Linked DNA regions of Callithrix jacchus. Each later gene encodes a partner of the first gene's protein in a complex. Links are inferred from orthologs where the notes say so. Each region holds a gene or a part of one and is shown on either strand. Other genes may lie near its edges.

Region 1 (4,549 bases):
GAAGTACGTCAAGGCTAGTTTACTCATTTGTGAATGTATCACTGCAGACCATCATGCGAGTATAAGCCTATGATTACGCAGGTCTACCTGAAGGCACCGCGAAGGCACCTGTGGTAAGTGACATGGCACCTAGAGGGCTCTGAACCACCTAAGTAACCCACTTCTCTCCTACTGTGCTCCGCGCCACTCACCTCACACTTTTCTAGTTTTTACCCCTCCTCCGTTTACCTACCACTAATTCATCCTCATTCAACTCCATGAGCAAAGTCTTTCAAACACTGGTCCAAATGTTATATACTCAGAGAAACAATTTCAGTTGTTCTAAGCTTTAAAAACCTTTTTTTTTTTTTTTTTTTTTTGAGACAGTGAAACAGTGTCTAGCTCTGTCACCCAGGTTGGAAAGCAGTGGTGCAATCTTGGCTCACTGCAACCTCCTCCTCCCGGGTTCAAGTAATTCTCATGCCTCAGCTCGAGAATAGCTGGGACTACAGGTGTGTGCCATCATGCTCCACTAATTTTTGTGTTTTTGGTTTTGCCATGCTGGCCAGGCTGGTCTCGAACTCCTGATTTCAGGTGATCCACCTGCTTCGGTCTCCCAGAGTGCTGGGATTACAGACATGAGCCACCACATTCGGCCTAAGCTTTAAAATTCTCATCTGCCAAGGAAAAAGTTTCTAAGGGAATCAATTTCCAGTCTTCTATCCCCTAAAACAAATGTGACTTACAAAAACCTAGGTGTTCTGAAAAAGGTGGGCTATCAAAATATTTTTTTCTGTGAAATCAATCCTATTTGTCCATGAAATTTCATTAGGAAATTGGAAATACATGAGAGACACAATCCGTGGGAAGAACAAGTCTAGGAAGAAAAGGCTAAGACAACAGAACAGAGGCACCGTATAGATTGCGGCTTCAGAGCCGTTTTTCAACAACTCTGGAGAACGAACTTCCTGAACCCAGGCAGTTCCCAAAGACAGGAATGAAAATAATGAGGTCTTTTCACAGGACTTTAGAGTACAACAGTTTGTTCTCCCTAAGAGGTTTAATCCCTAGGAACTTTGTATTTGACTTACAAACACCAGAAACCATCATTTCACAAATGGTTACGGAAAATGCTCATCTGAAACATTAACAAAGCATCTATAGAGTTCCAGGTTAAAAGCACTCATACCTGCGGAAGTGCCGTGTTGAGCTGTCTCTGCAAGGAATCTCTTTCATGACCAACCTCGTGTAACTTCCCCTGGGTTAATGCCAGCGTTTCTTGAGTCTCTCTCAGTGTGTCAAGAAGACGGTCCCTTTCTTCTAGCATGGAGACCATCAACTGTTCGAAATGTGAATCTGTGTCCGGCTGTGAAGGGGAGCCAGACCCATGGCTTCCGCTTCCTCCAGGGGGACCTTCTGCTTCGCTGATGGTCGGCATCACCTCGCACATCATCTGGAAATCAAGGCCCCAAGCTACGGTCACTAAGTGCGAATACAGGTTCCCACAGTATCTGTAGCTAAAAAGATGGGCAGCCGCATTATTCTCAGAACTGGTATGCTTTGTATGTAAAGAAGCTGAGAACATACACACACGGGGCAAATATTAAGTGCAGAAATACACGACATGAAGACATCAACACGGACAAAAACCCAGGGAGGGAGTCAGGATCCCAGAGGACTGCCCTAACAGCAACAACAAAAAAGGCAAACCCTGGGGTGGTCTTTTAGCAAAGCTGTACGTTTTCGTGGAAAACAAGTGTGCTTCTGTTACCTGTTTTTTCTACTTCCCAGTGGGGGGAGAGAAAGTCAAAACACATGTCACCCAATCATTTTTCAGGAAAAGCACAGAAGGAGCACACAGCCAACAAAACTGACAAGTACAAAATCCATCAGGCATCTTGCAGGAATGTGTGCGGTCAGCTCCCGGGAAGAACGGCCGGCTCCCTGAATTCTTGGGCTGGATTCGGTGAGCACTAAAAAGAACTGAATTCGTTACACGCTGGTAGAAGTGTTTTTCAACGGCTGCAACGGTTGGTCAGTCAACCTAACTTACGTAAGTTTACAACCGGAAAAAAAAAAAAAAAAAAAATTCCACAATGGAAATATAGCAGGTCGATACAGCCCGGGGCGGCTAGGAAAGAAGGAAAAGTGAAAGGTGAGATTATGAGAGACTATTAAGTGTCTGGAATCTAAAGACGGCGGGAGGGGAACGGGAAGTCGCTTCTGAGCCTTAAGGCAAGTATTCGGGGTGCGGTGGACCCCCGAGAGGAGGATGCCCAAGACCGCGCACCTGATGCGGATGGTTACCTCCAGCCTGCTCGCGCCCGCACTCCTTCCCCTCCTGTAGCAGATGCGGCGGGAGCCCAGGACCCCGGGGGTGAGGACCGTTGACAGCAGAGCCCGCCCGGGCCGGGGCTTTCAGCGGCCGCAGGTCCCCGCCCCTCGCCCCAGCGCCAGGGTCACGGGGCGCGGGGCTCGGGCAGGGGCGTCACGCAGCCCCCGGAGCCGTCCCTCGGGGCGCGGGGGTCCCGCCGGAGCTCCCCTACCGCCTCGCCCCCGCCCGCCCCGGAGCGCACCCTTCCCCGCCAAGACATCCAATCGGCTGCGCGGCCGCCGCGGGGATCGGGACCCGCCGGGAACGCCTGGGCCCCGGGTCTGCCTCAGTGTCCCGCTCCCTTACCTTGCTCGCCGGCGGGAGCGGACGAGGAGGCTCTGCGGCGGCTCGCGGGCGGCTGCTCGCTCCAGGCGAGCTTGAGAACAGACGAAGGCAGCCCGCGGCCGGCGTCAGCCTGCCCGCCCCACGCCGCGGCCCCGGGGCCCGCCGCCCCAGTCACTAAGGCCGGCCCGCGGCCGGACACTGGCGGAGCGGAGGAGGAGCGGGCCCGGCTGCGCGGCGCCGGCGTCAACGTGCCCGACGTCGGGCGCGTCGGCGCGAGCGTCAGCACTGCCCCGGGGGCGGGGCCCGAGGAGCTCTGCGGCCCGAGTGCGCAAGTGCCGTCTCCTCAGGAGGGGGCGGCCGGCGGCTTCAGGGCGCTGATTGGCTGAACGTGACGGAGCCCCGCCCTTCCATTCCACGCCCAGGTTGGGGGCGGCGTCCCCGGGATGAGCCACAGGTGGGAGCTCAGGTGCTCGCGGGGTCCCCAGTCTCCTCCCACAGCTGCAGGTACAGCGGAGGCCTCTGCCGAGCGTCAGTCCGCCGCGCCTCGGGTTCTGAGCCGGACCAGTCCGGCACGTCAGGTCCCTCCCGAGCTGGAGGCTCTGGATTCCCATCTTGCGGCAGAGCGAGCCAAGGCTTCAGCCACCGCCTGGGGCCCCGACTGCGCCCTCCGCGTCGCTCCCAGAGTCTCCCCGGGCCTGATCTGGGTTCAGAAGGACGCGCTTCCCTCCAGGACCCACTTACTGAGCGCTGCCTGCCGCACCTGGGGACGCCCCGGCGCAGCGTCCAGCGGGCAGACTTTGCCGCTGTGGTTTCACACTGCAGCGAGGGCCCGGTGGGTCCGGGCGACTCGGGAAACACGCCTGGGCTTCAGCGCCTCCGATGTGGGATGGGAAAATGATGGAGACCTACCTGCCAGGCTGCTTTAAGATGTCAATCAGATGTAAAGAGCGACTGGTTGAGAAGCTGACGGGCAGCACTGCACGAGGCTTGGTCATTTGATCTTTTCCGCAAGCATTTTTAAACACCTACCATGGGCCAGGTCCTGTGCTGGATGTTGCAGACACGGAGATGAATAGAGACGCCGCTAATAAATTTAGTAAATTAAAGCGGATGCTCTCCCGATCTTCCCAGAATTTGACTCGAGCGCTGGTCTTCACAAACCAACATGTCAGGAGACCATCGCCGGTCTCCACTGACCACTGCTGTTGGTGTGAGGCAGCCAAGAGCCCCTCAGAACGAATCAAGTCTGAGAACAGGCTGCATAGGGGCTAGGAGAGGGAAACGTGAGCCCGTCCAAGGTGAATTCCCTGATTCCACCTTGTGAACGCACGGAGAACAAGCACTACCTCCGACTAACTTTCTCACCTACCAGGGTCTGGTACACCTGCCATTAATTTATTCATTCATTCGATAAATATTTATTGACTGACTACATGTAAACATGAATTTGTGCTTTTTGCCCCTAGTTTCTTGCTATTTTAAACACGTTAATGGCCAGGTGAGGCCAGGTGCAGTGGCTCACGCCTGTAATCCCAGCACTTTGGGAGGCCTAGGCTGGTGGATCACAAGGTCAACATGGTGAAGCACCAACCCTACAAAAACCAGCCTGGCCAACATGGTGAAGCCCCATCCCTACGAAAAATACAAAAAAATTAGCCAGGTGTGGTGGTGGGCATCTGTAATCCCAGCTACTCAGGAGGGTGAGGTGGAAGAATCACTCGAACCTGGGAGGCTGAGGTTGCAGTGAGCCAAGATCTTTCCCTGGAACTCCAGCCTGAGGCAAGGTGCAGTGGCTCACGTCTGGTAATCCCAGCACTTTGGGAGGCCAACTTGGAGGATTGCTTGAGCCTGGGCAATACAGGGAAGCCTGTGTCTATACAAAAAAATTAAAACTTGGCCGGGCGCGGTGGC
Region 2 (3,809 bases), on another chromosome or scaffold:
GTTAAGTGCTTAGGATGGTACCTGGAACATATAAGCCATCTCTAAGTGTTCACTATTTTTTATTAATATCTGTATTTTTAGTTACTTGAAAAAAATATCCTCCATCAGACACAGCATACAAAGTTCCCGTCTAGTGTCTGAATGCTGGAAACATTTGAAAAAGGTATACTGTGTTGGACTAACCTGCTCTAACCGGTCCAAATCATCTTCGTCATACAGGCGCATATCCAAACCAGCTTTAAATCCTTTCTTAGAAGCACTTCCTGATGGCTGTCCCAATTCCATCGGACAAACATATTCTTCACCATCTTCCTGTTTCTTCTTTCTCAAATTCCCAAAATTGCTAAAGGCAAGTTTCTTTGGCTTTGAAAGAAAAGCAAACAAAAACATCCAAAGGATCTGATAAAATTCCAAAGGACTGATAACATGTAATTTTTTTTGCATCATCCCTCTTCCCTACATGTCTAATTTAATTTTTTACCCCATGTAGAAAGAAAAGTAACTGGATGTTTAAATTTGTATAAAAAAGAAAGGGCATCCTAGGCATACAAATGATGCAATGATAAATGACCCTTGTTATGAATCTCAGAAAATTAATCTTATTCTTCTTCATGTCAACTGGCTGGATAGTCACTGTCTGGACTGGCTTCAAACTCCTGGTCTCAAGAGATCCTCCTGCCTCAGCCTCTGGAGTAGCTGGTACTACACGCACATGCCACTGCACCTGGCTTCATAGTTTTGATTAGACATGCCTTAATGCAACGGATTTCTCAGGGCTAAGTCCAATTTTGCAAGGTTTTTCAATCTAAGATTAGCAAAATAAAATGGACCTTACTCTATTTTTTCTTGGGCTGAGGCTATGGTTATCTTGTGTGCCTATTCTGCTTCCATAATAGAACTGGTAATTGCTAAAATAATTTTTTGGAGAGAAAACTTCAGCAACACTTAGAAGAGAAACTCCACCTTGGTCATTGGATGACTCAGGCAGATAGGAAAAAAAAAAAAGTAAAAAAAAAAAATTAAAAAGAACTTGGCACAAATTTCTGGAGGACCTGATAACCCATCAAGTTGGTTGAGATAACATATTTAGAAGAGTTAATCTAGGATACATTTAAAAGAAGAAAAAGTAATCTGAATTTGGTATAATCCATAAATCCAGGTAAATTAGGAAATATCCATTCTTTTCTGGTTCACTTTGAATCATTTCTTAAGTATCTTTTCCTGTTTACAAGGCTGGTAAATCATAAGCCAGACAAGCTGAATCTGTACAAGAGAAATCTCTCTTCTATATTTGACTTATAAAAACAGAGCAACTGCAATCAATGGTTACAGGCTCTCTGCACTACCAATGCATGGATTTTGGAAGCTCAACATCATGCTCCTCATTATGATTTTTTGAGAGACAGGATCTGGCTCTGTTGCCCAGGCTAGAGTGAAGTGGCATGCTCACAGCTCAATCATAGCTCATTGCAGCCTCAAACTCCTGGGCTCAAGTGATCCTCCTGCCTTGGTCTCCAAAAGCACTGGAATTACAGGTGTAAGCCACCATGCCCACCTAAGAAGGAGCACTCAAAAAGGGACATGAACCCTGGATCTTCAGATTAAAAGTCTGACGCTTTACTGACTGAGCTATCTGGGTGCATTACCTTAATTATTACACTTTTAAAAGATATATACTTAGTTATCCCTCAGTAAATACAGAGCATTAGTTCCAAGACCCTCATGTATACCAACATCCGTACATGGTTCAGCAGTACCTGTGTACCTAAAAAGTCGGGCCTCTCTATATGTGGGTTTTGCATCCCTCCACATTTGCTTGGAAAAAAAAAAAAATCCAAGTAGGAGTGGACCTGTGCAATTCAAACTCATGTTCTTCAAGGGTCAACTGTTCCTTCAACTTGTCAGAATAGGCAGATAGCTAGACATGAGGGGAAGCCCCTGAGAAAAGAGAGGTCTGGAAAATCTCATACCCCAGAAACCACCCAAAACATGCATGCTAGATATGAGCAGAGAGGAGGAGAAACACCTATGCAGAAAGAAATGCCCCTTAAGATGCCCAGTAATCTCTCACTCTGCAGTTTACCTGCCAGAATGTAGCTAGCTGCATGCTGATAAAGAGGAGAAGAAGGCAAAGGAGAAATTCCTAAGAGAAATGCAGGTACAACACATATAGATTTCACTGCTACACAACCATTTTAGGGCGGCGGGAATGAGCAATGCAGCTTTTAGGTAGAACTGTAGCCAATACCCAACCCACGCATGCGTACCAACTATAGTAAGGGAGGGTCCTACAAACCTGGGATGGGAACTAGGCAGGGAAAAGGTGAGGACTTAAGGCAGGAGCGGGAAAATGAGATGAAAAAGACAGAGACTTAACACAGAGGCGAGAGCTTCAAGAAAAAAATTGGACATCATAAAAACCCAACACATAACTCTTGGGTTCATTCTCTTTCAGCAGCCCACTGTGCCATGGTTTCCGGAGTACACTGTCCCTTTAAATAAACATTGTTACTGTGACCCTGCTGTTTTCCCTGCAGGAACAGCTCGTGTACTTTTTTTTTTTTTTTCCTACAATAAGCTCTTTGCTCCCTATTTCCCTTCAATAAAGCTCTCTGCTATCTGTGAACTGTCTCCCAGCCAACATCTTGCTCCTGAGACAACTAAGCACTGAGGATTCCTGCATTTGCTGGAAAGCAACCCATCCACAAAACTTAGTATATCCCAGAAAACAGAATAACCAGGTAATTGATACAATGTGGCCTTTGCGCCAAGCAATTATTAAACCGTATGAGCCTGCACCAACCTTCACTTTGGCAGTAGCTGTTAGAAGGACATAATCTGGCAGCTCCATGGCATCTCGCTTCTGGTGCTGGGCCTCAGCCCCGATCAGAAGGTTGAAATGAGTGGCCAAATGTCTTCGCAGCAAAGTCTTATTTGGTGGGATGTTCAATAACTGAGCCATTGTTTCTACATTAAAACGAGGTTCTAGAACCTGTTAAAAAAAATTAAGCTCGTCAAAAGTCACCATAAATCATACATGTTTGTATGGTGCTTTATAATTTGCAAAGCTCTTTCACTTAGGTGATCTCCAGTGATCCTCTCAACAGCCTGGTGAGGTAAACAGGGTATGGACTTCGATCTTTAATTTATATATCTTTTCTCCATTTTGCCCAAGTTAGTGAGTGATAGAGCTGGTACTCAAATCCAGGCTTCAGGCATCCCAATATCAGTGCTCTCTACCTCTCTGGGGTGCAGTCCGTGGGAGCCAACTCCTTATGCAACATCAATGTGCAGAAATACAATCTGCATCCTTGCAGGGGTTTTCAAACATGAGCATATGAGAGACAGCAGCTACATGTTATTCAACATGAAGGGGATGATAAAAGAGAACTGGCTTTAAATCCAATCTAGATTTACATGATATCAATACAAATACTCTGAAAGGAAAGATTTACTAGAAATAGTGTAGGAGGGTTGGGTCAGATGACTTTAGGATTATGATAATAATAATAGGATATGATAATAACAAACTGATAATATCCTACTCACTAGACTGATGGAAACAAAATAAGTCAATTTGAAGTTAAATCAGAGCCTTACCATGAGCCCGCCATGGACGCCACTGCCTCTGAGGTTGGGGGCATATTCTGCCAAGTCCACAGAGCGCAGCCACTCCATCACTCGATGGTTTGTCCACTTCTGAACTTCTGATGGGGTGATGCTATTCTATAGGAACACACAACCAGGATCCTAAATACTAAATTGCATTTTCTGTCTAAAAGGTCTGGTCCACAGAGAACAGTTACTCA

What was found.
Region 2: PPFIA1 (region 1) and PPFIBP1 share a complex: the UniProt entries of both Homo sapiens proteins name them as parts of the cortical microtubule stabilization complex. The link is inferred for Callithrix jacchus from reciprocal best matches to the Homo sapiens genes PPFIA1 and PPFIBP1.

Annotation. Positions count from the first base shown.
Region 1 is NC_133511.1:127,207,729-127,212,277, reverse strand, and holds the start of PPFIA1 (liprin-alpha-1), read right to left. Parts: upstream 2,893-4,549; 5' UTR 2,660-2,892; intron 2,435-2,659; exon of another isoform or gene 2,270-2,434; intron 1,965-2,269; exon of another isoform or gene 1,751-1,964; intron 1,433-1,750; coding exon 1,169-1,432; intron 1-1,168. UniProt on the Homo sapiens protein: May regulate the disassembly of focal adhesions. May localize receptor-like tyrosine phosphatases type 2A at specific sites on the plasma membrane, possibly regulating their interaction with the extracellular environment and their association with substrates.
Region 2 is NC_133510.1:43,539,403-43,543,211, forward strand, and holds part of PPFIBP1 (liprin-beta-1), read right to left. Parts: intron 3,727-3,809; coding exon 3,601-3,726; intron 2,993-3,600; coding exon 2,804-2,992; intron 364-2,803; coding exon 184-363; intron 1-183. UniProt on the Homo sapiens protein: May regulate the disassembly of focal adhesions. Did not bind receptor-like tyrosine phosphatases type 2A.